Linked DNA regions of Nothobranchius furzeri. The protein of the gene in region 1 interacts with the protein of each later gene in a pairwise test. Links are inferred from orthologs where the notes say so. Each region holds a gene or a part of one and is shown on either strand. Other genes may lie near its edges. The genes, in order: tex11, cdkn1a, zinc finger protein 414, hyi, snx7, necab2 and mad1l1.

Region 1 (3,937 bases):
ACCAGGTAAGTGTGTCGGTAGAATTAATCATGATCTACTGTACATGAAGGGAGATTAGGACACCTGAACGGGATGAAAGGCTGCTTTGGGAATAATGATTATGTTTACTGCTCACCCTTGACTTTCTAACCAGAAGTTTGTTAGATCAAATCCAAGTAGATTTGTATCGTGGGTTTTGTATGTGATGTTGGTTTAGCCGGTTTACTTTAACCCTCCCACTGTCCTAATGGGTGTGACCCGTTGAGGAAAGCTGACCATTGAGCAGGACTGATGGTTTATCCCTTGGGTCCATGTGGCAGGGGTGAGGTGGTGCTCACTCCTCACCCCTGCCACATGGACCCAAGGGATAAACCATCAGTCCTGCTCAATGGTCAGCTTTCCTCACCGGGTCACACCCATTAGGACAGTGGGAGTGTTAAGTAAAATATAAACAACAAACATCTGCAGATGGTCTGACATGAACCTTTTTGTTTTTTGGTTTTACAAGTGTGGGAATAAACATGTTCACTGGAAGACTGATGAATAAAATACCCATTAAAGAATGGATTATGGTTATTATTACCACAGGCTATAAAAATAGTCCCAAACACATTGGCATTCCATGAGTTATGCAATGTTTTAGAGCCAACACCATTCTGATGTAAAATACAGGAAATGCCATCTTGTTTAACTAAAGTTGCATTCAAGATGTATTTGTTTGTTTTTGCTCTTTGACCTCTCAGCTCTCTCTGCTGTGCCCTACTGACCGCGTTCTGCTCATGGGCCAGAAGACTTGTCTGCTGATGGCCGCTGCCGCCTCTTTGGAGCTCTGCAGGAATTCTCCTTACTCCGCCCAGGTGTGCCACCCACTCACCATCCTATACATTTAGCACGCTCTCCATTAGAAAGGATGGAAATTTACCAAGACCAGCAGAGAGGAGAGGTGACTAACCACATTACTGGTGCAGGCGTAGGCGTTTCAGTTTAATCCCTCTCTGCCTTTGATAAGGAACTTAACACTAGATGGCGACAGAGAATCCAGAATCCTCACTCCTCTTGTTTGGCTCACAGGTGGAGGAGGAGCTCACTCAGGCTCTGGAGTACATTCAGACCTGCTGGGAGGTTTGGAAAACCCTAAAAGCATCAGGTGAAATTAAAATCGAACGCGGCTGAAGTTGGAAGAAATAAACCTTTCATGAAAAACTAAACATTTGTCCTCATGTTTTTATAGAAAGCTTTCCATCAGACCCCACAGAGTCACTCCTGCTGCTGTATGAATTTGAAACTCGCGCCAAGCTGAATGACACAAAAGTTGAGGTGATACTTGAGTCCGTACTGGAGCTTGAAAACGTTGAAGCCAAAGTGTTAGAGACCATGGCGGGTAAGAACATGCATCATCTGTCCTTATCAGACATATTTGTAGTTCTTGGTAGTATTTACCGCATGCTCTCATATCGCCCCCTAAACAAAGCCTTGGCCATGGAAGCTCCTGCCTACTTCCCTCGACTGTGTAAGAAGGCTCTGAGAATTGCTCTCTCTCTGCACAAGAAGCAGTCCCAGCCTGATCTGGCCCACTGCAGGCACCACTACACCACAAACATACACCACCCTCATCATTTCCTCTAAGTTACTGGGGTGGAGGTTGTTTCTGATTGTGCGGCTTGTCTCTGTCATAGCAAGTGCATTCATGACCTGATCAAGCTGTCCCTCCCGAGTGGGGTGGCAGAGGTGGAGGCCCGTGCGCTGGCTGAGGTGTGGGACTACTTCGAGGAGGCCCTGTCCATCATATCAGCTGCAGTGAGTCGGCACCAATCACACACAGACATCCCTCGGCTCCCACCTCCCATTTTCTCCAACAGAAATGTGTCGTGCTATGTAATTAAGCCCTCTCTTTCACACCATGGCTGCCTTCTCTTCTAGAAATCTCTCTCCTTCTCCTTTATTTATTTATTTTTAAATCAATGGGCTTTCAGCTGCAGTTCAATTAGCAGAGGCTTCCATTCACCGCCCCTTCCTGCCAGTTTCAATGTTAATATGCCGTACAAATCATCACACTGCCGGTGAGCTGCAGCTCTGAGATGTGGAATTATTCAGACATCATGCTCCTTTTGAGGCAGCACGTATTTCCTCTTTCAGAGGGAGTTCTCACTTGAAAGCTGTTTAATTCTTTGGATCAAAGTAAAGGGACAAGCTTTAAGTGTTGGGGAATCTGAATGGAGAAAATAAAAATAAAAATGAGTCAATTCACATTTTTCTTTCCTGTTCCAGTGATAGTAAAAGGTTAACACAACCAGCACAGGATTTGATGAAAGTTTACTTGCCTTCTTGCTGTTCCGTCGTTCTAAAGACAACTTTGTGAATTGAGTCACCCAGGTGGCCCCGTTAAATGGCCTTTTGAACATCTTCCTGCCTCCTATGCAGCCGGATGTCTTCCCAGAGATGGAGACCCTGTGGCTCCTGACTCAGGCCTGGAACACTGGCATAATGCTGTACAGTTTGAACCAGTACATGGAGGCTGAGAAGTGGTGTGGTCTGGCTATGAGCTTTGTCCATCATTTGGGATTTCTGCGGGAGAGCTACGAGGCACAGGTAAACATTATGGTTGTTATGACCCGGCTCGTTTAGTCTCCAACGGTTTGACATATTCCGGATGAGCCCCCATTTATGTTACGGCTCGACTCATGAAATGGCAAGATATAAGAGACTGATTATATTTCTGAGGTTTAGGGGCATTTTTAAAATTAAAAGCAGCCTCTAAAAGGCCTCACCAAAACAGGAAACTGGCAGGAGCTCTTAAGGTGACCTCTCCTGTAGTTGCACCAAGCAGGCTTTGTTCCTGCACCCACAGGTGCAGTTAGCGAGCCCTAACCCTAACCCACATGAGCACCAAATGATTAGAAATTTGGTAAATATACCTGTAAAAATAAGGTGAAATATTATGTCTCGGTCAATAATAAAACTAAAGCCGGATAAAATAATGCAACATGAGATTAATTTGGAAATATACCGAATGTACATCGCTCTCCCTTACTGGCTAAGGTCATTTCTTAACTTTGACAATCTGCATGCAGTGTCCATACAGAGAGTCTCTAGAGCTCTGCACTGCAGCTGGTGTAAATGCTCTGATTGGACACAACGATCATTGACCTAAACAGACTGCATCCATTCCACATTCAGCGTGAAAGTCAGTGTTGCCAACCAGAACACTGCTTTAGCATTAAGATGAAATCTGTTAACCGTATCCTTTAAGACAAATGTATTTTCCTCTTTTCAAAAGGAACAGATGTTTCTTGTGCGACATAGAGGTTTTATCTAATGCAGATGTTTGTGTGCAGATGTCGGATCTCTACAGTAAAATCCTGGACCAACTGGACAAAGCAAAAAAGAACACCATGGAAAACTAAAAGGCCAGGTCAATGGTTCCCATCTGGATGATCAACTGTGTTCCGAGTCTAAACTTCAGCCGAGTTAATCAAGTTTGTTAACGGCACCTTTTCCTGTTCTTTGTTAATGTCAAAATGTTTTACTGCAAACCCATCGTAATGCTTTCCTGATTAAAAAAAATACAAACTCTTAAAATTGTAGTTTGCAATGATTTGACTTTCAAGCCCGAGCCAAAGCTGCTCAAACCGGAATAACAAGCACATCCAAATCATAACTGAGTCACATATTTTATTTTCAAACAAATAAACTCTTGTCAAGTCCCAAAATAAACCCCAAACAAAAAGTTGCAGGACTGCATTCCCTCATGACTAGGACAGGGAAGACCATGAGGCCGAGTGTCCTGATAGGCTGTACCACCTGCAGTGACAGGAAGGAAACTACTGTACAATCAAAGGGTTCATGTTTGCAAGCACTTACTGCACATGTGTGCTAGAACAGAAACATCATCACCCAAAAGTACAAACAAGAACCCTGAAACCTACCCCACCCATAAAATAAAAGCATGTCATTATTT
Region 2 (3,450 bases), on another chromosome or scaffold:
CAGTTTAAGTCAGTGGAGTCTCTGTCCATGGCTTTGAGAACACTTGTAGATTTCTCCGAGACTCACTAATACTCTTTATCCTATGGATCTGTGGAGGCTTTAGGATCAGTTACCTCATTCTCAAACTTTGCCTTACATCACACTGAAACTTGGAGACAAGCAGCGAGGAGGTGGAAAAGCTGACTCAGTAGACAACAGCTTTAAAAGAGAGGAGATTTAGAAGCGAACTGCACCTGATTTGGCTCAACATGTAAGTAAAACACATTAAAGATGTTATTTTATATGTAAGAAGTTAGTAGTTGTTAAATTTAAAAGAGCTTCTAAGCATCTGAGTAAGATTTATGATTTCACAACCTTTAAAACTCAACACACACACACACACACATATATATATACACTTTTGTAGCTCATTAATAATTGTATTCTAAACATTTGAAGAACAAAAACGTTTTTACAGGACTAATGTGTTCCTAGAGGTGTGAAAAGTTGACATAAATGGATCTTTGCGATCTCATTTTTGCACATCCAGGAAATCCATAAACTCTTGTTTGGTGGTTTTAGTTTTTTTTACATGTCTGTGTGTGTGTGTGTGTGTGTGTGTGTGTGTGTGTGTGTGAGAGAGAGAGAGAGAGAGAGAGAGAGTGGGTGAGTCCAAACTGTGACATCCCAGTTTGACACGAGTTCCAGACTCACGTGGAGCAGAGTTGTAGCTGAACTGGGCTGGGTCCAACTCAGTCATGCATGACTAGCTCTCCCGCCAAAGCTTGAGTCACTCCTCCCAGAACCACCCTGCCCAGTAAAAGAAACGCCCTCCCCCTTCCTCTGTGGGACCAGGGCAGCGCAGGGATCCAGCAGGGATCCTTCAAACCCTTTTATTAACCTAATGATCCACCCACAATTGGGGAGCTTTATTCTGAGCCCTGTGCTGTGGGTGGGAGCGTTGAACACTGCATACATAGTCTTAGTGGTCATTAGATGTGTCCAACAAACCCATTTTTTAGTAAACTCTGATACAGACTGTAGTCAACTGACTTTACTACGTAGATAATTTTGATCAAAATGCAAAGGGCCCTTCTTTTTCTCATGAACAAACCAAACTGAACTCCATGATAGGAGCCAGATCAAGCTAAAATAGAGACATATTTCACTCTCATATTTTATGAATCAGAAAAAAGGGTTTGTGCTTGTGTTTGTATGAAAATAAAAATCAGAATCATATCAGATTATAACAGATGACTTGTTTCATTGACACATTTTTATTTATAACACTAATCAGTATTTTACTGAAACGCATCTTCACGTCAAATTGAAGCAGATTTTTCCAGATTCCGTTTGCAGATAACTGGAACAGCTTCTGTAAAATAAGCTCGTGTCCTCTTAATCACTGATAACGTATTTTATTCATCTCCCAATCTCATCTGCTGCACCGTAACTGGACGGGCAGGGACTGTTTTCCTTGAATGCTTCCTTCCTTCTTGGATGGTCTGAATGACCTGTTTCCCAGGTCAGAGTCAGAAAACAGTCACATGTTTCCCTCAGTTTCAACGTAAACTGAAGATGAATTATTTCTCTGGTGTTTGCCTCCGAGCTGTCTGTAGTCGGAGTGACAGTGCCACCTTGTGGTTTATCTCTCTTACACCAAACACCACAACAGCAGAGGACTTGCCCTTACATGCCTGTGAGAGATTATGCCCAGACATGTACCAGAGAGGAGGGCTAGTGACTCACTGCTGCTGCTGCACTGCATTATAAAAGCCCGTCAGCTCACAGAAGCAGTCTAGTTCACTGAGGAGCTGTTAGGCTAGAACCATGGTGAGTCTGACTAAACTTTGTTTAAATCACTGGTTTGAAAATATTAAAAACATTTAGTTTGTGTACTTTTTAGACTGTGGACAAAATAGATTGTGGCTTTTGAAACTAATCAGTTTTCCTGTTTTTACCTACAGTGCAGAGGGATGGCTACACTTCACAAGCGAGCCCTCAGTACTCTAAGAAGGAACGGTCCCCCTCGGCGGAGCCTGTTTGGCCCAGTGGACCGAGAACAGCTCCAGATGGAGTACCGGACTGCCCTGCGTAAAGATCTGGAGGAGGCTTCCCAACGCTGGGGGTTCGACTTCTTCTCCGACAAACCTCTGGAGAGCGGTGATTTCCAGTGGGAGATTGTCCCAGGTACCAGGGTGCCACTGCCCTACAGATCCAGCGTCATCTGTGCAGGACATGCAGAGGGTCAAAGGTCAGCAGGTGCAACCAAAAGAGGAAGGGTGGTGGTACCAGAGAGGGAGAAAGAGAACTTCCCCCAAACTCTAGAGAAATGTTCTCTGAGTCTGGAGAACATGGAGACAACATCAGAGACGGAAGACAAATCAGGAATGAAGAGGAAACAGACAAACATTACAGGTATGTTTAGATATTTTTTATATCAAATTAGAAACACTCATCTTTTCTCATAAGCTAAGTATCCTCTTCTTTAACCCAACAGATTTCTATCAGGCTAAAAGAAGAGTTGTCTGGCTGCCGAGGAAATCCGGGGAGTGATATTTCCTTTGAAGGTGCCAAAACTCCCAAGAGAACCAGACAAAGAACCAGCACCTCCTTCAGGAATCAGTTGTTCCACACCGAGCAGCGGGAGTGCTGAATCATCCAACAAAAAAAAAACAAAAAAAAGAAAAAAAAAACCCAGAAGGCACCAGGCTAATTAAGATGCTGCATGTGTGAGGGGTCTGGTGTTTTCTGTCCACGCTGCAGTTAAGAAGGTGACATTTGAGCAGAGAAGATTAACAGTAATCTCTGGAATCAGTGGATTTATACTCATTTGGACTGAGAGCTCGCCAAATTGCTGACTGACATTTGTTACGGCGCGTCACACAGCTCTTAACCCTCTCGGTCTCGTTTTGATAAAAGGACGAACAACTAAGTCCTTCAGGGGTGCTTCTGAGTTAAAAAATGCTCATGAGATACTTGTGTGGAGTAACCAGGTAGGTAGGTTTTAACTGTTGCAGATCTGCGATGCCTGCCTCCAGAGGGTTAAAACACAATCACATCTCAGTTTGGTGGGACTTCTGCCTGTTTGAGGATGAAAAGCAGACGTGCGAACAAATATCAGGACTCAGATTAATACGTTTCTGTGGCAAAGCCGCAGGAAAGCTAAAAACAGGAGAGCTTTGTCTATTTTGTTCAAATCTATAATTGTTTTTCTACGTCTTTTTATAGGAGTTTTTTTTTTAAGTGCATTATATTTTACATCGGGGGTTCCCAATCCTGGCCCTGGAGGGCTGGTATCCAGCAGGTTTTGTGGTTTTTCTGCTCCAACAGACTTGATTCAGTGGTTGAAACGCCTGTGCAGCAGCTCATCAGGCTCTGCAGAAGCCTGTTAATGAGCTGCTGATTGAAATCAGGTGTGTTGAAACAGAATTCAAACTAAAACATGCAGGATACCGGCCCTCCAGGACC
Region 3 (4,387 bases), on another chromosome or scaffold:
TTTTCTTGGTTCATGTTTAATTCCGCACTTGTTACAAACTGTATGTTTGTTGCTGGCTTTAATTCTACCTTGTCCTGGTCTTAGGTTATGGGGGGGGTTTCTTCAATGTGTCCACTGAAGCGTCCTGGACTACTGGGTTCAAATGCATTGCTTGGATCTGTGTCTTTGCTGCTTCCGCTGACCTGCAGATTTCAATGGCTTTGTTCAGAGTAAGGTCTTTTGTCGCGAAGCAGTCTCTCTTTCAGACATGAGTCATTTATGCTGAACACCAGCTTATCTCTGATCATATCATCTACATTTTGACCAAACTCACAGTCCTTGCTTTTTTGATGCAGTTCAGTAATGTACCTGTCCACCACAATTCCTGGTGACATTGGGTATGACCAGAATTGATGACGTTCAAAAACCACATTCCTCTGCGGGCTACAGTATGTTTTAAATGCTTTCAGGACCTCCTCCACTGTGAGTGCATCTCCGGCTGGGGTAATGTTGAGTGTGTTGTACACTTCTAAGGCCTCCTCGCCGATAGTGTGAAGAGGCTATTTTTACCTCTTCCTCCTTTTCTGATGCGCCAGTGGCTATCATGTAGAGCTGGAACCTCTGTTCCCACCTGCGCCATGCCTCAGACAGATTGCCGACGAGACTGAGTGAAGACGGCGGCCAAAACTGCTCCATTTTATCTTCTTGGTAGCAGACGTTAGCCCCGATGCTTATTCATCTAGCTTACTCAAACCGTCGTCTCTGTTCTCTTGGCAGCCAAACTTCTGACACCATGTTGTGTTACTGGTCTCCTTAGGTCTTCTGTAGGGTTTCTACTAGGTAATTAAACACTGAGACACAGCTGTTTAGGTCCAGCGAACTTTTACTTTCAGCCTCAACTCTTCAACCCCAACAGCAACACATGTGACACTAGTGCCCCCTAGTGATCACCGTCATAACAGCATGTACATTACAGTACAATACACCACACTTCCAAGACCATTTTTTATCGTGGACACATTACCGTCAGACTAATATTTACTGGATGCTATACATGCAACTACTTGTCAAAATAACTATAATAAATGTTGACATATAAAAATATATCTGAATGGATTTTAAGGGAATTCTCTGTTACATATTTTAACAAATTTTACACGTCTGAGCGCGACAATTTTTGGCCTACCACATTGCCATGGTGAGTTTGCTGCTTATTAGATGAGGAGTCATAAATGGTCAAATAAATAGCCCTATTGTTACATTTATTTTGGCCAAAAGGCTTGCATGTAGCCCATTAAAAATTATATAAAAAATATTTTGCGTCCATGACGTCTTCCCCCACTGCCAATAATGCTTAACTTTATAGAAAAGTGTTTCAGAAAAAAAATCACTAAGGCGCTATCTATCAAACTATGTCTTAAACGTTCAAATTTAACGTAAAAAATCGTTGCATGTTGTAAAAATATAAATCTGTCTTTACCTGAACCGTCATTTCCACCTGGTGTAGCAACACGCATGCGAGTTCGTCTTCGAACACGCAGGCGTATTTTGTAGGGGCCACAGGGGCGTGGTTTGTAGTGGCTGCGGCTGCAGCTAGACCTTACTCCAAAATGAAGCTTTTTGTCTTTTTGCTCATTTGTTTACTTTGATTCTGTTTGGGGTTTGTTTTTATTTTATTTATTTATTTGTTGTTGTTTGTACTTCCTGTTCATTATCCTTCTTCTATACGTTGGAATTCAGTCTGTTCTGATACTATCTCATGTTGGTAAAACTGATTCATTGTAGAGATTGCCATAATTGTTGTAGATTAAATTTTGTGCAAAAAAAAAAACTTACTCCAAAATGAAGCAAGCGACACGCCCCCTTCCTGCTCGAAGCCTCGCTTCGTTTGTTCCATCACTACCGGAAACACACCACACAGCTTCCGCTGCTGTGGTTGAGCTCAACCTACAGTTATGATGTCTCCGGTGTTCCCCGCCTTGCCAGCACCTGAAGATGAGAACGGAGGTTTGTGTTTTGCGTTGACGTCCTCGTAGTTGGTTTTGTTATTCCAGTTCGTAACAAAGCTAACGATTGCTAACCAACTTACATTGCAGTTAGCATAGCAGCTAGCATAGAAGAGGAGGTTCGAAATGATTGATACATATCTGAAACTGGATTTCTTCAATTAAATAGCCAGCTTTTCCGTTTACGTTGAACATGTGTCGTTTGTTTAAACATCACTTCCCTGTTTTAGCCCCGAAGAGGGTGGCCTGTCCGCTCCACGGGTGTAAGCGGGCTTACACAGAGATGAGCGTCCTGCAGAATCACATCAAGGACCACGAGATCGCGGCACAGTCCCTCCCAGGTGAGTCCATATCCTGCTTGGTCCATAAAATATCATCTCAGAGCGGGATAAGTCAGAGAGAGAGCCTGGATCATCCTTAGATGATGTCTGATTAGGTTGACCGTGAGTTATTAAAGCCCCCGTGGTCGGGGCAGCTGGCAGTCTGACCCAGGTGGTTCGTGTGTGACAGGAGGTGAGGTGATGTCATCAGGTGAACAAGGTGTCTGCTGTCCACAGGTAAGGTGCTGCTGTGCTCCTCCGCTGGCTGTGGCAGGTCCTTCCCCAACATGCAGAAGCTGATGGAACACATGAGGCATCACCATAAGCCCAACATCTACTTCCAGTGAGTGCTGCTGCTCAGCGTTGCTGTTTTTGTTCTGGTTAACTCCATGAAGCTTCTGCTCCTTCAGGTGTGAGAGCTGTCGCACAAAGCTGCGGTCCTACCGTGGCCTCCTGGCACACCTGCACACCTGTTCCAAAGTGCCCCGAAGCAAATCAAAGGCTACTGAACCAACCCCCCCTCTGTCTGCTGCTGCTGGTCCAAATCTGACCACTAATGCTGCAGAGCAGCAGCCCCCCCACTTAGAGTCAGTTTGTTCAACCCAGCAGGTCTCCGACCCACAGGAGTCCCTCTCTGCTGCTCCTCTGCTGGACTCCGCTGACCCCCCTGTGCTAGGCCCCCCCATCCTGCCTCTCCAGGAGCCTGTCCCCCTCCCTTCGGGCCCCTGTCCCACCCCCTCTCATGACTCTGATACTCCTGAAGCCCAGAGCAGGACCACGGGGCCTTTCCCACCTGCTCTTCACTCTCCTCCTGGCTCCTCCGCTGTCTGGAAGAAGAACCAAGGTGAGACTTTTTCTAGTTTTCTGAAACCGGCTCCCTCCCCTCAGCCTGCTCTGTGGGGCATCCATGTTCTCCTGGTAAGCTCCAGTATTCCCACAATATCTTCATTAACCAGGAGACTGCGCTAGATGACCCTGGTCCTCTTCAGCCTGTCCCTTTGGCTCTTTAGATGAGGTTGAAGAAGGCCATTAAAACCTCAGAACACGACACTAATGTACTACATCTACTGGTCAGAGTTGTCGCTGACAGCAGTTACCTCTCACCGGCCTGTCTGAATAACCGCTGCAACTGTCGCTTTTCTTTAGGGACGTCCTGCAACAGACGTGTCCTCTGGGAACACACTAGGGGGCGCTACACCTGCGTGCAATGTGGACACACGGTGACTAACCGTAAGGAAATGACCCAGCACATCAACAGTCACCACAGCGGCACCAAGGTGGCACGGGACCCAGGAAACAGCTGACGCCGCGGTCCGGGCCCTGGTTTACCGTCAGCTTTTCTGAGAAAGTAAACTTGATAAACATCCTGTTGGGACTCTTGGATATTAGGGACCGACTGCTAAAAGAGTTTCTCCACCCGAAACTGAAATCTTGTCTGTACTTATTTCCCAGAGCTAGATAAGTGGGAGAGAGCAGCCCGGTCATTCTGCTCTCCTTTAGCTTAGCATAAAGCACCGTAATTAAATGATCCAACTAGCATCGTGAGCCCTTCAAATCCCTCCGTAGTGATCCCAGTTCTGCTTGGTGACCTAAATCAGACGGACTGCAGGTGAAAATCATCACAGGCGCCATTTTAGATTGAACCTTACTGCTTTGGCATATCTAGTTTAACGGTGTTTATACTAAGCTAAAGCTAACGGCGTACAGCCAGGTTAATATGGGTGGCCTGTCCCTGTAAAGCTGCCCCAACCCTGAGACCCATCGGCAGGTGTGAGAACCTAAAGGAGCCCACAGAATAAAAGCTTGTTGTTGAAACCTTTACTGGTCCAGATTTATTCAGATTCATCACAAAAAATACAACCTTTTTCTCTTGTACGTGTTGTAAATGCAAAATGTGTTATTAACTGAAAAGATTTCCATTACAAAGGACTGGTCTGCAGCGGCCCAGTAGAAGACCAGTAAGGTTTGTGACTTCTAGGAAAGGAGAATTAGTTACCAACCCGTGTTTTACACAGTCGTGAACAAGAGGAGCACAGCTGGCTCCGTCAGAGGGAGCAGTCTCATCCCGGCATTTACTCCGCT
Region 4 (3,254 bases), on another chromosome or scaffold:
GTGTTTCAGTTTGAGAGAAAACGTTTGTTAAACATCCCACCTCTTTCAGGATGTCTTTCACTGGCAAATAATGGATGGAAACCTCACACAGAACATGCACAAGTATTTCCCCCTGATAGGTGAGTCCATTTGAGGGGCTGTGAACGAGCCGTTTCTCCCCTCCCTGAAAACACTGATCAGGTGATCTAGGTGGGCCGTCCTCTCACCTGAAGCAAAGCTTAAAAAGCAACTGCAAGCACTTTCAAACAGACTTGAATCTGCACCGAAGGGCCTTGAGTGTCTGTTAGTGCTTGTTTTTGTCTTCTTAAACTTTTGCTTTGCACTGTCTTCCATTTGGAAAGAGAAGGAAACTCATCTGTGTGTAATCCTGTTGTCTTGTAGCTCCAGTTTGGGCCAGCTGAAAACAATAAGTGCAATCAGGGGCTGTGATTGAGCTGTTTCTCCCCTCATCAGGTGCTCTAGGTCTCAACCATTGCAATCAGCTGCTGCATGAACACCTGTTTCCAACTAGTCTCTCTGACATATAAAAATGGATGAAATCCCACCATCTCCAACTCAACCTCTCTAAAACTGAACTACTTGTCACCCCTTTAAAGATCATGTCTGTTGCTCGTTCATGCCGCTTTGCACTGTATAACATAGGAAAGATCAGACCATACCTAACACAACATGCCGCCCAGCTCCTGGTGCAATCTACTGTCATCTCCTGCCTCGATTACTGCAATGCCCTTCTAACTGGTCTTCCAGGCTGTACTGTGAGACCTCTTCAAATGGTCCAGAAAGCAGCGGCGCGTCTGGTCTTTAATCAGCCAAAAAGAGCACACGTCACCCCTCTGTTCATTGAGCTCCACTGGCTACCGCTAGCAGCACGCATCAAATTCAAATTTTTAACACTAGCATACAAAGTCCGAGACGGTACGGCTCCCATCTACCTGAATCCTTTTGCAAAGGCTTACGTCTCGTCCCAGCTGCTGCAGTCATCACAGGATCGTCGGCTAGCAGTGCCTACACCACGCTCAGGACGATCCAGACTCTTCTCATGCATCGTTCCACAAATGTGGAATGACCTTCCAAGCACTACCAGAACAGGGGCTTCCTTTTCAATTTTCAAGAAACTCCTGAAGACCCTGCTCTTCAGAGAGCATCTTCTTACCTAGCACCCTCTCTGCACCCGTACCTCCCCTCTCTACTGTCCATTCCTTGTTCCCTCCTCTCCATGACTGATGTCAAGTTGTTGTTGTTATTGTTGTTGTTAGCCTCAAGGGCAACATGCCGATTATCACTTGTAAGTCGCTTTGGACAAAAGCGTCTGCTAAATGCATAAACAAAAATGACAGATGAGATCTCATGTCTGGTCTTATCTTCAGAGGCATCGACGAAAGCCGAGTCATCTCCTCTTTAGTATTCCTGCTGATGGGTGGCAGAGGATCTAAAACTGGCTTTGAATTTTAGATCTTGGTTTTGACCAATATATCTTATGCTCTGGTCTATAACATAGCCCAGATGAAGGTTGGTGGAAAAGTAGTTCTTGTCATCCAGGTGGCAGAAAAATCCTGCTTTGTCAATTATAAAAAAACACATTGGTTTCATTGTAGACAAATTTTACATTTTATATGCATTTTCTTTTAAATATGCACCTAATAGCTTATATCTGTTCTCAGTGTTCCTCGCATACAAATGTTTAGGGTTTCTGGCATCCTCAGGCCTCTGATCTGCCTTCATAGATTCAAACATGGTTTCAAAATCTGCCCTGTAAACCAGTGTGTTAGCTGCTCCGGCTGGAGAAAGAACCAGGTGGTTATTGGGCAGAACATTTAGATGGCTCCAACTAAGTTACGCTGGTTCTGACTGGAGTTCCACAATGAGTCATACCTCATTTATTGGTGTTAAACACAAAGTCCACTGGCTTGTATGTTCATGTAGGACAACATTTGTCCAGCTGAGCTAAGCATGCACAAATAAGACAAGGCTTCTTCTGAATGGTTCTGGTTCTCAGGTCATGTTCAGGTCGCCCAGGTTCCTGGCCGGAACGAACCCGACTCTGACGGAGAGCTGAACTACAGCTACCTGTTTCGTACGCTGGAACACCTCGGCTACCGGGGTTACATCGGCTGTGAATACAAACCCTTTGGTCAGTCTTCCCTCACCTCTAATAGTTGATCCACTAATTTAAAACATGTCGGCTTATTGTCTCATCTGTCTACTGCAGAGTCCACCACCAAGGGTCTGGGTTGGATCCAGCAATACTGGACACACGGAGCACAATGAGCTCAGACAGAAGACACCTATCTGGAGTTATTTCTGTTTTAACTGCAATGACCCTATAAAGATGATCAGCCACAACATTAGAACCACTCGGCCCAGCTCAGCATTCCTTTGGAGACAACCAAGTCCTCCTGGTGGGGCAGGGGTTCATTGCTGTATGTTCTGAAGGACCATCTGAAAACATCATCAAAACTCAGACCAAGTCTTGTTGAAGATATTAAACTGAATAATTTAATCTTTAGTTCTATAATCACGTGTAGAACTGATGCCTTAATATGCACAAATATTAAACATTTAAATGTTAACGAGACTTCGATGTAATGTACATGATTACATTTGTTTACTGAAGAGGTCTGCATGACTTATTAGGGGTGGAACAAAATGAAGGTTGATAGAGGCTTTAAAAATGACCTGTTTCACTTCGACAGCAAAGCCACCCCTGAGCAGCTTCTTGTTCCTTTAACCACAGCTGCTAATAACATTAAGTAGAAGGTTCCTGAGACCAAAGCCCACCTAGACCTCATGTACCCAAGAGGAACTGTTCCCCCAGTTGATCAGGTGGTAGAAAATGAGCCAAGGCTGGAGTTCACCTAAATGCTCGAGCTCCTGGGAGAACACCTTTTGAACCGACGAGACAAAACTGGAGCTTTTGTTAAATCACCTAAGCTGTAAGAACACTGGACCTAATGTGGAGACTATGTTCTGGACCTGCTATGCTGCATCTGGACCAGGATGTCTTAAATCTGTTTAAGGTCCAATAAAGTCACAGGTCATGACTCTTCCAACAAGATGAGGCTAAACCTACAGCTAAAAACACCCAAAAGTGGATCAGAACCAAACATTAAACTATTCTAATGTGTATTAACCCTGAACTAGAACCTGCTGAACATCTGTGGAAGGAGCGAAAACACCTGCAGAAGGAAGTTTTCAAATCTGAAACGGCTGGAGAGGCTTTCTCATGAGGATCAAAATACCTGTGCTCAAGCGAG
Region 5 (4,737 bases), on another chromosome or scaffold:
CACTCTCCCCCGCCCTCAGCGAATGCCGTTTTTCCATGCCCATCCTGATGTTCATCTCATGCACAAATCATGCCCGCTCTACTCACACAGAGCTTCCAATCACATACCAGTTTGACAAATCCTGTAACAACATGCATTACTTAAATGTATAGAATCACCTACTGGAGGATAGCACTTAACCATTATGGAATTATAAAGGAGATCTGCTCACATCACTCCAAGGACTGAAGGTAAGGCTCCAGGAATAACCCTTTAAATGTGTGATGCGGACTGAAAACTAGACACATTACGAGTCCCTGTCAGATAAACACGACCCACTGTTAAACTCTTTTGTGAAGTTTAACTCACTCACATTTCTAATAAAACACAACTTTTAAAGAACATTTCTTACTTTTGAAATAAGCCACCCACTTTATTAACTTAATAATTCCTCATTGTGTGTTGTTCGTGTTATCTTTGCACACGTTCATGTTCAGATTCTTCCTTTGAAGCCATGGCCCCATTGATTGTCCCTGAATGCAGCACTACTTTTGGAAACAAACATTTATCTATCAGTTAAAGATCTTATTTTTCTGGTAAATTTAAGGTTTTACTCTGGACCTCCGACATCCGTGCTTTTAAATACGAGGCCTTTCCACACACATCATGTTAACATTGGAACATCTGGCATCTGGGATTGCATTTACTTTTATTTCAAACCTCCCTGACAGTTTTACCTCTGTCCCAGACTGAGGCCAGATTCTTGCGCCAGTGCGTCTCAGACGGTTGAATCGGTCTCTTCCGCATTTCCGTTCGGTCCTGAATCTAAAGCAAAAATGGTGTGTAACCGGAAGTCTGGTATATTTATTTTCCAAATAAAAGCATAAATAATTTCGGATACTGGGTTGGCGAATCACTGAAATTTGTTTTATTACTGACTAGTTTCTAGCAACCAGTCAAATCTGCATTAGAGATTTCATGTTATTTTCCCTGTAATAAGTCACATGAGAACAGAAATGGCTGCTCGTGTTTTCTCTTCTTTACTAAATCCCTGAAAAAAGCCCAAAACTAATTGTCAGAAAATATAAAATCCCTGTTCATTGGCCCCAGGAATAACTGGTTTGCGACCTAACTTTATTCAATTAAAATGACCAAGTTGACCTAAATGTTAAAGAAAACACTACCTGTCTGACAGGCTCAATATGTGTCATGTTTTTTTTTCACCTCCCATCACCTTGCTAAAGGTAATCAGATGGAGTCCATACTTCATAACATCACACCAGGACTACTGTGTGTGACACCTGCAGATAAGCAACAGGTGCTTCACTTGGCAGTGAAATTTTGGACTGGAACTAAACAGGTCACACCATCTTGACTGACCTTCCTTGTCTTCATGTTTGTTTTAGGATAGATTTCAAGGTTCTCTTGTTTGTTTTCCATACTTTGTCAGTAGGTGATCTCTTCATCTACAGGGGCTTCGGTGCCATCATCTTCCCATGCTGCCTTTGTGATTGGCTGATCAGTGTTTGTTAGTTGGACCCGGTTTCAACCTAGTTGCCCTAGAGTGTGGAATGGTCTACCACTTGTCATCAGGCAAGTGTGCCCCCCCCCCCCCCCATCAGTGGTGATGATGATGATGATGATGATGATGATGATGATGATGATGATGATGATGATGAGTGGTCTAATGAAAATGAGCACCTAGTGAAAAAGAACTAATTCCAAACATCAGATATGTCATATTCAGCTATCAGCGAGTTTCTTGTTTCAAATACATTATAATATAATACTATATTTCAGATCAGTGTTCGTGAGCGTTTAGCAGTTTGAGATCTGAGGAAACTCCTTAGGCAGACCAGATGTTTTTATTTTGAAAGACCCTGCAGGAAGTGCTGTTCCACCAAACCTCTTGTGTTTGTCTCACAAAACTTGTGCAGGAAGTTTGACTCGGAGTAGACAGCTGATTTGTAAAAGTTGGACAGTGTTATGAGTGGACACACGGTCCCTGCGGACATCTCAGACCACATGTTGGACTTGGACGAGGACGAAGACCTGGAGGTTTACAGTAAGGTAAAGCGGAGCTCCTTTAAACCGAATAAACTCCCTCAGTCTGGTTTGCTCTGGTTGCTCTTTAGCCTCATCTCTCTGTAACTTTTAACTTAACACATAACGACTTAAAAAACAGAAACTTAGCATTCCCTCAGAACGTCTAGAATCAGGCGACTCTTCAAAATAAAAGTCTTGTCCGTGCTGACTCCAGAGTATTCAGCTTTCCGCCAAACTCCGTTCAGATTCGGAGTGATTGGGGGATCAGTTGGCAGGACCTAAAAACTTTAATCAGATTCTTTATTTATACTAAAACAAGTGGTTCTGTCGTCAGTTCGGCTCACCCTGGTGAGCTGATTTCGTCAGTTCTGTCCGAAGATGTTGGCTTGCTTTTTAAAGTGAGTGAATCTACATTTATAACGAGGGGCGGAGATGAATGGGAGATGGTGTTGAGGCCTTCAGAACCGAACCGGGACCGGTGTGTCCTACAGCTGATGGATGGTTACAGCTCCATTCCTCACATTTTAAACTGATTACAGAGGTTATGGCAGCATTTCTGACTAAAAGCGCAAATAATTGAAGAACTGGTTGTGAGAATTTACAGATGCAGTGAATAAAACATTTGCAGGAGGTTTGTGTTCACATCTAACCTGCTGTAGAGTACTTAGGCAGGTGATGTTTAATGTTTTCCTCTGCTTTTATCCTCAGCGGTGATCTGTTAACGCAGATTGATCAAATCAAAATGTCAGGTGGTTTTCTGGATTAAAGTCCAGATTTAAACAGCCTTTAACTTTACACACACACGGGGTTTCCTTTCTTTTATCTTGTGTGTGTGTGTGTGTGTGTGTGTGTGTGTGTGTGTTTACAGGATTGCTATAAAACACAATCCTGACAGAACAAAGATGGAATCAATCAAATGCTCATCCGCAGAGACAACTCAAGTATAGAACAATATGAAAACACACCAGCATACCGAAACATTAGCATAAACAGAAATGGACTAGCGTTTCTGCCTCGTCCTATTGGTAAAAAGGGAAGCCACAATTTCCCATTTAAAGGAGTAGCCCAATGGCAGCTGGTGGAAAAAAATACTTAAATATGAACAGTTGAAAAATGACCATTATTCCAAAACAATCATTCAGTACCTTCTCCAAGTTTTACAGAAGATAGTCAATTTTGAAATTTAAAAATAAAGTAGAAAAATAATAATACTCTAATAAGTACACAAGCCTAAATGTGAGCCTTTCAGAGCAACCGCAGGCAACATGTTCCGTTTTTCTTGTTATTCACACTTTATTTTGTCCTTAGATGGTTTTCCAGCTTTCGGTCTCCAGCAGCCTCTGTGTCTCAGTCATCTGCTCAAACAAGGCATGCGAACCCCAGAGCACTTTACTCAGCACCACCAGTAGGTGGCACTAACACGACATAGATATTTTATTGGATATCGTGTTTTAAACCAGCGTATAAATGTAGAAGACTCGTTGCAGTCGCTAAAATCAGATGGCTTACCAGGCTAGCATTATAATCACATAATATGAGAACAAAACACATTTTTACAACAGAAGCTACAGGTCTGATTGCAGCTCTATCAACTGTGTGCATTAATGTGAACAAGGGCGTGAGAGCGAGAGGAGAAAGGAGATCAGGCACCATCTAGCAGGCTAGCTAGATGGTTTCTGTAGCTGAGGTGCTGTCGAACAGCTGTGGTGGACCACAGACACCTCCAGAACATGCTGGATGTTGGCCCTGGAGGACCTGGGTTTGAGGATCTGTTTACTTTACAGCTTGTTGGTCTGATCCACACACTCTGTTCTTATTTAGCTGATAAAGAGTCTTCAGAGTAAACTGAACTGTTTAAGGTTTTTCGCCTCATGTTCAGTCTTCGCTGGTGTGTCAGAAGGCAGCTGCAGCTAATGATGGTGGAATTCTTTCCTCTTGCTCAGTGGAACAGAGGAGCTGGGTTTGGACTTGTGTTGCAGTCAGACCTTTAGCTGCAGAAGCTGGGTGTTGAAACCTGAACTCCAGCTTAATCTGCTGCCCCTGGCTGCTCTGGTAGGTAAACATTCCTGTTGCTTCAGCCCTGACCAAAACACTTGGTGTAAAGGTGTCTGGTTTTGGTCAAGTTTGGCTCCGGTCACGGTGATTCTGTGCTAACGCTGCAGACATAGCTGTGTTTACAGCCTCACGATGAAGAGGACGAGTGTCGAATATCTGTGAACTCAGCAGGTTTTCAGCTCTGATGTTTGCATAAGCATTATAATTTGAATATGACAACAACACATCTACAGGGTTTTTGATGAGTCCGTTTGCTTTAATGTCCAGTTCAGGAAGTTCTGAGTGTGTGTGTGTGTGTGTGTGTGTGTGTGTGTGTGTGTGTGTGTGTGTGTGTGTGTGTGTGTGTGTGTGTGTGTGTGTGCGCGTGCGCATACACACACATTTCCTTCTGCTAAAGTCTTTAATAAACCCACGTCCACGTCTCTTCTGCTGATGGGTTTTCATGTGAAACTGTTAACTGAGGCTAATGCTAGCCTCTTTGTTCCAGTCAGATAGTAGTTTTCCAAGTCCAAACCAGTTGTCTAAGGTCCAAACACGTGTTCTTGTGGTTCTGGTAGGTTTCACTCAGAGAAAACTTACTGAGAAGTTGTTCTATCAAACCAAAGATGGAAATTCTGGTTTTAATTGTAAAGGGTTTCATGATGGAAGTCCGTAGCA
Region 6 (4,438 bases), on another chromosome or scaffold:
ACTACACAGTTGGTGATCTGTAGAACATACATGGTAACCCGAAGCTAACAGAGTTTTTCCAGGCATTTTTAGAAAAAAAAAACCCAGTAGAGCGATGACGTAGGAGTTGTTTTACAGCGTTAGCATGTAGCTAATGTCCCGCTGATCTCCGCCTGTGGAGAATGAGCTGATCCGGAAGGCCAGGGCTCCCGGTCGCGGCGGACTGGCCCTGCTTGTAATTTAACAGTCCCAGTCCATATTAGAGCTCACATTCGGCTTAGAGACGAGTCCGCAGGCAGCCACACCCCTAACCCCCACCGCTCTCCCAATGGGGAGGGCCGGCAATTCGTAAGAATGCCAGGGCCGAATTTTGGTCCCAGTCCACCCCTGCTCATTACTCCACTTCCAACAACCAGCGCAATTTACGTTCCAGTAGCTTCATCTCTAAAGTTATTCCCAAAGCTCGCACCTCCTCTGGCCGCTCCTCATTCCAGTTTGCTGCTTCCAACGACTGGAATGCGCTGCAAAAAAATCACTGAAGTTCACACGATCCATTATCTACCTTCAATAATTCATGGGGATCAATAGTTTCTGATCAATGTGCTTCTGAGTACTTAAAGACAGTTTTAAATCTGTTTCGACTGATTTTACACATTATATATGAGAACAATCCTAACTGTTTTATCAGAATTTTATCTCACCTGTTTTGTCTGTGGTGTAAAGCTAACTGCTGCTGCTTCCTCTTGGCCAGATCGTCGTTGTAAAGGAGAATGAGTTTTCAATCCACTCATCCATTTAAATAAAGGTTAAAATTTAAAAAATGTAGGTGATTAATGTGGTTTAATTCATTTGTTCAGTAGCAAGAAAACTCCTCTTGCCACTGCACGCTCAGTTCCACATGGGGGCAATCATGTCAAGTGACTGGGTTTTAGTTTCCTGCTGTCATGGGGCCGCTGAGATATATAGATCTATTTGTCTTTTTACTCACTTCACAGCCTTTCAGTTATTTTGTCAACTTCCCAGCATGTCTTAATTTGTCCAAACCAGCTGCTTGGTGCTGTTGGACATGTGGCGGACTGAAGAAAAGTCTCTCCAGCAGCCGGAAAGGGCTGGGCTGGGGAGCCTCTCATTACTAAAGGTTAGATCTGTCACATCACACATGCACATAAAGCTCTAATGAGCAGCTGGAGTGACAGTTCAGGGGACTCCTTTTGCTAAAGCCCTCTGATCCTCCCTTTGGGATGCAGCACTTCCTGCGGTCTAAAGGAAGAGCATCTTTGTTCAGATTACACACTAAACCTTAAAGGGGGAAGAAACAGCTTTTGTGTTGCTTTTTCCCAGAGGAGCGATGCACGTCCAAAGGCTTCATCCTTAGATGCACCAAACAGAAGTGTTTAAGTCATAATTCAGATGCTACTGGGTACAGGATGGATGCGGGTGCTTCTGGGGTGGATGCTGTGATGTAAGAGGAGGTGGGGGTGGGAGCGCCTCTCTCTCCCCCATAGAGCGCAGCATGAGCGCTCCGCAGCAAAAGGATGTGTGAGCAGGCAGCGCGCTACTGTAGGGACGGAGTCCACAAACTGCTGAACAAAGAACAAGCCAAACTTCGAGCCCAGGAGAGCCGAGAGCAGCCGAACCCCGTAGCCGGTCAGGACAGCGAGTCCGCGACGGCAGCGCAGTCCGGAAACAGCGGCGCCCAGCCCGGTGGAATCGACGGGCTCGTCCGCTGGATCGTCACCAAAATGAGCGACAACAAGAACGTCTCCAGCCGGGAGTACGCCTCCAGCAAGGAGGAGGTGGCCGTGGCCCAGGAGCAGTTCTTCGCCCCCGAGCCGCGGAGAGGCATCTCGGTGATTCTGGATGTGAGTATGAGGCACCGGGAGGCGGCCAGCCCCGCCAGGAGCGGGTGGGTGCATGGAGACATCCAGGGAGCGGTGCGCACTTACGCACAGACAGTTTAGGTGTCCGGGATCAAACCGGCGTCCCTCTCCTCTGCATCTGCACCATATCAGAAAATTCAAACTTTGCACGTTTTAACTGTCAGTCCACATAAATCCTGAGGCTCTCCAACTGCGCTGCAGACATGTTCCTGTGTTAACCTTCAGAGTGATAACTGCGTGCCTGTAGCATTTCTGGTGTTCAGGTCAGCCCAGTTTTATTTTACTGTGCTTTAAAACGAGTTGATCTCAGTAGAAAAAAAGAAAAGAAACGTAGAAACACGTTGTGTAGACCTCCCCCCCCCCCCCCCAACTTGTTATAAATTAAGATTTTTCAAACGTTTTTTTTTCTTTTTTCCTCTCTATCATACCATACCACTTTATTTGTAGAACGCTCTTAACACGGCACTACAACCGACCAAAGCGCTGGACATAAAGACAAATAAATAAAAAACAAGCTAAAATAGTCGTGCATATCATAAGAAGTAAAAAGGATAAGAGTTAAAGAACAACAAACTAAAGCCAATAAAACAAGTAAAACCAGAATATAAAAACACAAATTTTAACTACCTGGCAGCTAAAACTGTTTCCAGCTGAGTCTCTGACACCAGCCTTTGAACTTTTTCTGACATTTTCTTCTTTCTGCATAACTTTGACCTTTCAAACGTGAATTTTCTGGCCCCTTTCCAGCATATCTGACCCCAATATTCTTACTTTACACCAAATGGGCTTCCTGGTGTGTCCCTGAATGCAGCATTTCCCTCATTAGACCGACTTGTTCTCCTTCTCTGAGTCTACCGTGAACCCATTTATTATTCCGTCTCCTCTCTTCCAACAGAAGCATATTCCTAAGGTGAAGGCATGCCTCCTCTTTGTGTCTTTCTCTTTAGTCGTGTTTTTTTTGTCTCTTTCTGTTGTAACTCTTCACCATCACCTCCTCCTCCTCCTCAGTGAGACTCTTTCCCTCCTTCCCAAGCTTCCCTGACTCCAGCAGCTCCAGCTCTGTTCTGAGAAGCTGAACATGGCCCAGGGTGCAGATGCAGAGCAGCTTTTCAATTGGAGTGCGGCTCTTTCAGCTCCTGTTGCCCTTTATTTAAGAGTTTAGTCACAAAAATGTCTTGATGAGTTTCTGTGCAATAATTTAGCTGACTAAACTAAAAAAAAAAGTTTTTGGGTCGTCACGATCTGTTTGCCCATTAACTTCTGACTTTGGTCACTACTGTTAACATTCATCTTATTCAGAAGATCATGTCTTTGAAAAGCACATTTTTTTTTAGATTTCCTGTAATCTGACTAATCCAACCAGACCAAATTCAAAATATGTGACTAAAGATCACATCCTCTCGTTTTATTCTACAAATATCTTCTTTAATATTGTTTTAAAATGCATCTCATGATCACTCAGCACGTCTTGTCCTGCCGGTGGCTCGTGTGTCACTCATCCTCAACCTCCATGATGAAAGTATTCTAAAACGTTGAAGGTCCTCGGAGGGGGGAGCTTTCCCTAAAATGATTCAGATTCACTCCCAGCTTGTTCAGCTGCAGCTGTGGTTGGTTCGGTTTGGTGTGGTAAGCTAACTCCGGTCCAGCTGTGTGGGATTCAGTCTGATCCGTTACCAGTTATTCACCAGCTGGTTTCTGTTTTCCCAGCATGACTCTTCTGTCAGCTGGAAGGAGGTTTATGACACAAACATTCACTATTTTATAGGTTTCCCTCCTTAAACTCCTGAAAACGGGAATCTATGGGTTCCATAGAGGTTTTTATTTTTAATTTTCTGCTTAAATTATTTCTTGGAGGCAAGAATAATAAGTAGTTTCCACTGGTGAGAAACAACATTATTTTAGTGACCCAAACAAGAAAGAAGAAACCCCAAAAGTAAGCCCTGAGGGACACCTTGAAAAACAATTACACTAAAGCTAATTTAAATTATTAATAAATGTTTAAAGAAATTACAGATTTGTGAAATAATCCAGTGTTTAGGTGTTAACATTTATTAGATGAGGCTGTTTTCAGACACACAATGCTTCAATTTAACTCTTTAGGCTTGAAATATGAAAAACTAACGATTGAAAATACTGAGTTTAAAACTAAATAAAACAATAAGATATGGTGTTACTTTAAGAAATACAACAAGATTAAGAAATAGTGCTTGATGTGTCTCAGGTTAGGACTTCATACCTGGTGGGTTACTGGTTCAAACTGGTTTGATCAAGTACTTTTGTGAATAAAAATTCATATTTCTGTACTAAGTTGTTGCAGAAAATCTATAGGAACTCACACAAACTGGATAATCAGATGCTGAGAGGTTTTTGGAACGTTGTTGAAAGGTTCGCTCCGTTCTTTAGTCCGGAAACATTCTTGTTTAGCAGATGATACGCTACTGTACTTACAAAAGAGAACTCTCAAAATAATTGGTTTTATTAACCATCTTGGTTTATTTGCACATTTTATTTAGTATTTAGAACCTAAATGTAAATGTGAAATAAACATTTCCCAAACATAAGTTGTGTTTAGAGAAATG
Region 7 (4,592 bases), on another chromosome or scaffold:
CGGAAGTCTTGCTCCATGGTCTCCCCGAATTCCTCCCATGCCCGGGCTTTTGCCTCGGCAACCACCCGAGCCACGTTCCGCTTGGACTGCCGGTACCCGTCAGCTGCCTCTGGAGTCCCACAGGCCAAAAAGACCTGATAGGACTCTTTCTTCAGCTTGACAGCATCCCTAACCGCCGGTGTCCACCAGCGAGTTTGGGGGTTGCCATCACGAAAGTCACCGACGATCCTGCGACCACAGCTCCGGTCGGCCGCCTCAACAATGGAGGCACGGAACAGGGTCCATTCAAACTCAATGTCCCCCACCTCCCCCGGAACATTTTGGAAGTTCTGTGGGAGGTGGGAATTGTAGCTCCTTCTGACAGAAGACTCTGCCAGATGTTCCCAGCAGACCCTTGCGATACGTTTGGGCCTGCCTGGTCGGACCGGCATCCTCCCCCACCATCTGAGCCAACTCACCACCAGGTAGTGGTCAGTTGACAGCTCTGACCCTCTCTTCACCTGAGTGTCCAAGACATGCAGCCGCAGGTCAGATGAAACGACAACAAAGTCGATCATCGAGCTGCGGCCTAAGGTATCCTGGTGCCAAGAGCACATATGGACACCTTTATGTCTGAACATGGTGTTCATTATGGACAATCCATGATGATGATGATGATGATGATTTGATTCCGTTACAACTGGTACATAAGTCCAATAACAAAAACCACTCAAATTCAGATCGGGGGGCCGTTCCTCCCAACCACACCTCTCCAGGTCTCAGTCGTTGCCCACATGAGCGTTAAAGTCCCCCAGCAGAACGAGGGAGTCACCGGAAGGAGCGCTTTCCAGCACCCCCTCCAAGGTCTCCAAAAAGGGTATGTAGTCTGAACTGTAGTTTGGTGCATAAGCACAGACCACAGTCAGAACCCTCACCCCACACGTAGGCGGAGGGAGGCTACCCTCTCATTCACTGGGGTAAACTCCAACGTACAGGCACCAAGATGGGGGGCAACTAGTATGCCCACCCCTGCTCGGCGCCTCTCAGTGGGAGCAACTCCAGAGTGGTAGAAAGTCCAGCCCCTCTCAAGGAAACTGGTTCCAGAGCCAGAGCCATGCATTGAGGTGAGTCAGACTATATCTAGTCAGAACCTCTCAACCTCACACACCAACTCATGCTCCTTCCCCACCAGAGAGGTGACATTCCATGTGCCAAGAGCCAGCTTCTGTAGCCGAGGATCAGACCGCCAAGGTCCCCGCCCTCGACTACCACCCATCACACATTGCACCCGACCCTTTTGGCCCCTCCCATGAGTGGTGAGCCCAAAAAAAAAAGCCAGAAACACAAAATAAGTCTGTGCGTACCTGGTTGGCTGCATTTAGCAGAGTGTCTCGTTCCTCCAGTTTCTTGTTCAGACCTTCCACTTTCTTACACAGAGAACTGTTTTCCTCCAACTGCTCTGACAAGTTCTTTTTGGCTTCGGTCTCCCTTTCCTCCAATTTTCTAATGCGCCCCAAAAGTTCTTGATTCCGGTCCACTTCATGCTGGAAAAAAGAAAGAAAGACGTAAACAAGGTGGATAAAAGAACACTGAAGAAAACTCTGTGTGTAGTACATCTAATAAAAACACATCAACCAATCATTTTATACTGTGATAAATCAATGTGCTGCTATATTTGAGTTGTGTACCCCCAAATCTCGTGCACTTTCAGAGACCGCCTTCTCCAGCTCAAAACGAGCTCTTTTGTGACTCAGTTCCATCTGTTTCTTTTCCTGGTCCAGCTGTAGATAGCGATGCTGAGTGTGAACCCGCTCTGCTGCTTCCAAAAGCTAAAACAAAGACAAAAGAATTAACCTGCCTTATAGCTAAATATTGATTTTACTAGAATTGACGATAAAGCAAAGGATTTCTGTTTACCTCCATTTGGCGTTTGTACTGATTTTGCAGGTTTCCACTTTCCGCTGATCGCTCCGACTGCAGCTGAGAACGTTCAGGGCGACTTATGAAGGTATTGAAAGACCTCAAAGTTGTTAACACAGTAGTGTCATCTTCAAAATCCATTGTATAGACCACTGGTGTTACTGACTGCACACAATTTAAAAAAAACTCTGGAAATGAAAAAGATTGAAACATCAGAACTTCCTCAATGACAAACACGGACAAGAGCATAATTTCACATAAGTACCATATTTAAAAAATGCTGTAAACCTAAAACTAGCTAGAAATTTTTGCATTAGTATTAATACACAGCTATTATTAGTCAAATACACCAACTAATTTTAAAATGTATTTCTTATCTCTCCAATAAAAACGTCAATTTTGCATATAACAAGGTTAGTTGTAGCAATTTTCAATAAAAGTAGAGAAAAACTAAAACTCCGTCCTTTAATAAGCAGTCACAACACTGTCTTTACCATCTATGTGTGTGCTCTATTGCTTAGCATGTCTTTGTAAAATTACAAACAGAATAAAGTGCATATCAACTTTATAACGTGGATTTGTAGCATAATCATTCATTAGCTTCCTTGATTAGCTCAATAATGGAAGCAGAACAAGTAGCAAACAAGTAGATAGAATGTCTAACATGTAGGCTATTTGATTCGTTTTCAAGTTCGGTTTTTCTGCTTTTTAAAGATTTCCAAGACGGTGAGGTTTTGACTGTTGTTTTTAGCCATGGACTAGCTACACAAGCTAAACATTAGAACTAACGGCGTTTATGCAGCTTCTCAAAACACGTCACAAAGTTATTAATGTTAAAGTTTTCATCAATGTACAACTTTTGGCAACATAACACCGTACCACATAAACGTCTGTAAACAGGTGGAGGTCTGTCGCAGATAAGTTATCCCCACTGCTAACGAGTTAGCACTTTAGCTGCTCGTTGGAAAGCCCTCCAGTTTTACTCGAATGGGATGCACGTAACATCGCGAGACTATCATTCTCTATCTTTTTCTTTTTTCCTGTTAATTTTCTGTGGCTTCAATTCAAATGTATCATTCGTGTTTTGTAGCAATGTTCAGAAAAACTAAAATAAAAATACAAGAATACAGCAAGTCAATAGAAGTAATAGTTTTTTTTTTTCATTTTAATTATTAAATGAATTACATGACTAAAGCTGTTGGGCTTTTCTGTGACCAAAAGGACATTTCAGTAGGCTAACTCAAGGATGTGTGTATATTCTATTGCATAGATTTTTCTAGCCTGGCCTACCTGACTCGTCCTCTGTTTAATTCTGCACAGAAAACGAGTAGAATTAAACAGAGGAGTCTTGCTGGCCAGGCTAACATTTTTCTGCATAAAGACAAAATCCCTAATTTGTGTAAACTTGGAAACAAACCTAAATCTGATTTTATTTAAATTTTATTTACCACAGAAATTCCAATATATTTAAGAATACTATTGACCTGCACATTTGTGTATGCTTTTGAAACCTAAAATCAGGGCTTACAAGATCCGGGAACTATCTTATTTTGAAAGGACTGTTCTGGCCACTGTCTGCTAGGATCCGGCGACTCACGCAACAAACTGGAAGCCCTCAACACACACCCAGGGGGAGCCCGAAACGATCCTGGTTCTACTTACAGTGGGGCAAAAAAGTATGTAGTCAGCCACCGATTGTGCAAGTTCTCCCACTAAAATGATGGCAGAGGTCAGTAATTTACATCATAGGTACACTTCAACAGTGAGAGACACTGATTTACAAATAAATTCTTTAAAAATCCTGCCATGTGAATTCATGGATTTTTTTTCACATTCTGTCTCTCACAGTTGAAGTGCACCTATGATGTAAACTACTGACCTCTGTCATCATTTTAAGTGGGAGAACTTATCGGTGGCTGACTAAATACTTTTTTGCCCCACTGTATATTACATTGTCTATGTGGATTCTCCAGGGATATTTAATTTAAGTAAGAGCTGAGAGGCGCAAAGCTCTGATCATTGGTGCGCTCCAGACAGACGTGTCCTGAGCACGGCCACAGTAACATTCTCAAAGTGTCGCCACCTCAAAAACAAATTTAACACGCAATTGTTTATGCCTGCTCATATCCTTTCATGCTTTCTGTCTTTTATTTGTGCCTGATGCGTTTTATTGCTGCGGTGCAGAGCGCATCACCTGTTTAGTCCTCCAGTGAATTCACCTCACAGGTGCGGTCAGCGCTCACTCCGCTATTTTCGCGGTCGGTAGATCGTTTTGAACTGTAGTTCAAAGGTAACTCATGAAGTGAAAAATATGAAAACAGGTAACAGTTTTTCTTTAGGATTGAGGGGGGATGCAGGAAGATAATAAACAGACAGGACAGAAAATAGTCACATAAAAAACAAGTTTGTTTTCGTATCGGGTGGTTGCTACAAACAGACACCAATGAAGGTAATCAGAAGTGAGGAACAGAAAATGAAATAATTATTTCAATGTTTAGATCAGCAGGAACTCTGAGAGGCTGCAGGTGCATCAGTGAGTTTGCGGCCGCTGCACAAAATCTAAAAAAGAACTGAAAACCTACAGGACACATAATGTAATAATAAAATACATAATGGGTTCATATATGAGTGTTTAATGTCGCTGAGCAGCTTTAGAGTCAAATATTTATGCCACAGTTCAAGAATGTCAGAAA

Evidence for each region.
Region 2: the proteins of tex11 (region 1) and cdkn1a interact in binary tests that used the Homo sapiens proteins (3 or more experiments, as listed by UniProt). The link is inferred for Nothobranchius furzeri from reciprocal best matches to the Homo sapiens genes TEX11 and CDKN1A.
Region 3: the proteins of tex11 (region 1) and zinc finger protein 414 interact in binary tests that used the Homo sapiens proteins (3 or more experiments, as listed by UniProt). The two-hybrid records come from large-scale screens. The link is inferred for Nothobranchius furzeri from reciprocal best matches to the Homo sapiens genes TEX11 and ZNF414.
Region 4: the proteins of tex11 (region 1) and hyi interact in binary tests that used the Homo sapiens proteins (3 or more experiments, as listed by UniProt). The two-hybrid records come from large-scale screens. The link is inferred for Nothobranchius furzeri from reciprocal best matches to the Homo sapiens genes TEX11 and HYI.
Region 5: the proteins of tex11 (region 1) and snx7 interact in binary tests that used the Homo sapiens proteins (3 or more experiments, as listed by UniProt). The two-hybrid records come from large-scale screens. The link is inferred for Nothobranchius furzeri from reciprocal best matches to the Homo sapiens genes TEX11 and SNX7.
Region 6: the proteins of tex11 (region 1) and necab2 interact in binary tests that used the Homo sapiens proteins (3 or more experiments, as listed by UniProt). The two-hybrid records come from large-scale screens. The link is inferred for Nothobranchius furzeri from reciprocal best matches to the Homo sapiens genes TEX11 and NECAB2.
Region 7: the proteins of tex11 (region 1) and mad1l1 interact in a two-hybrid assay, tested with the Homo sapiens proteins (2 studies listed by BioGRID and IntAct). The two-hybrid records come from large-scale screens. The link is inferred for Nothobranchius furzeri from reciprocal best matches to the Homo sapiens genes TEX11 and MAD1L1.

Annotation. Positions count from the first base shown.
Region 1 is NC_091741.1:84,252,080-84,256,016, reverse strand, and holds the end of tex11 (testis-expressed protein 11), read left to right. Parts: coding exon 1-5; intron 6-722; coding exon 723-836; intron 837-1,050; coding exon 1,051-1,126; intron 1,127-1,210; coding exon 1,211-1,360; intron 1,361-1,450; coding exon 1,451-1,559; intron 1,560-1,655; coding exon 1,656-1,776; intron 1,777-2,400; coding exon 2,401-2,568; intron 2,569-3,314; coding exon 3,315-3,383; 3' UTR 3,384-3,425; downstream 3,426-3,937. UniProt on the Homo sapiens protein: Regulator of crossing-over during meiosis. Involved in initiation and/or maintenance of chromosome synapsis and formation of crossovers.
Region 2 is NC_091743.1:46,701,304-46,704,753, reverse strand, and holds cdkn1a (cyclin-dependent kinase inhibitor 1), read left to right. Parts: upstream 1-1,678; 5' UTR 1,679-1,809; coding exon 1,810-1,812; intron 1,813-1,946; coding exon 1,947-2,397; intron 2,398-2,479; coding exon 2,480-2,535; 3' UTR 2,536-2,846; downstream 2,847-3,450. UniProt on the Homo sapiens protein: Plays an important role in controlling cell cycle progression and DNA damage-induced G2 arrest. Involved in p53/TP53 mediated inhibition of cellular proliferation in response to DNA damage.
Region 3 is NC_091749.1:7,743,059-7,747,445, reverse strand, and holds zinc finger protein 414, read left to right. Parts: upstream 1-1,711; 5' UTR 1,712-1,934; coding exon 1,935-1,986; intron 1,987-2,215; coding exon 2,216-2,326; intron 2,327-2,542; coding exon 2,543-2,648; intron 2,649-2,715; coding exon 2,716-3,149; intron 3,150-3,451; coding exon 3,452-3,609; 3' UTR 3,610-3,841; downstream 3,842-4,387. UniProt on the Homo sapiens protein: May be involved in transcriptional regulation.
Region 4 is NC_091756.1:55,263,439-55,266,692, reverse strand, and holds the end of hyi (putative hydroxypyruvate isomerase), read left to right. Parts: intron 1-49; coding exon 50-119; intron 120-1,996; coding exon 1,997-2,131; intron 2,132-2,209; coding exon 2,210-2,268; 3' UTR 2,269-2,575; downstream 2,576-3,254. UniProt on the Homo sapiens protein: Catalyzes the reversible isomerization between hydroxypyruvate and 2-hydroxy-3-oxopropanoate (also termed tartronate semialdehyde).
Region 5 is NC_091747.1:35,677,893-35,682,629, forward strand, and holds the start of snx7 (sorting nexin-7), read left to right. Parts: upstream 1-1,778; 5' UTR 1,779-1,965; coding exon 1,966-2,049; intron 2,050-4,737. UniProt on the Homo sapiens protein: Involved in the regulation of endocytosis and in several stages of intracellular trafficking. Together with SNX4, involved in autophagosome assembly by regulating trafficking and recycling of phospholipid scramblase ATG9A.
Region 6 is NC_091744.1:83,491,520-83,495,957, reverse strand, and holds the start of necab2 (N-terminal EF-hand calcium-binding protein 2), read left to right. Parts: upstream 1-1,396; 5' UTR 1,397-1,514; coding exon 1,515-1,841; intron 1,842-4,438. UniProt on the Homo sapiens protein: May act as a signaling scaffold protein that senses intracellular calcium.
Region 7 is NC_091744.1:8,655,214-8,659,805, forward strand, and holds the start of mad1l1 (mitotic spindle assembly checkpoint protein MAD1), read right to left. Parts: upstream 2,914-4,592; 5' UTR 2,779-2,913; intron 2,088-2,778; 5' UTR 2,041-2,087; coding exon 1,897-2,040; intron 1,809-1,896; coding exon 1,668-1,808; intron 1,524-1,667; coding exon 1,344-1,523; intron 1-1,343. UniProt on the Homo sapiens protein: Component of the spindle-assembly checkpoint that prevents the onset of anaphase until all chromosomes are properly aligned at the metaphase plate.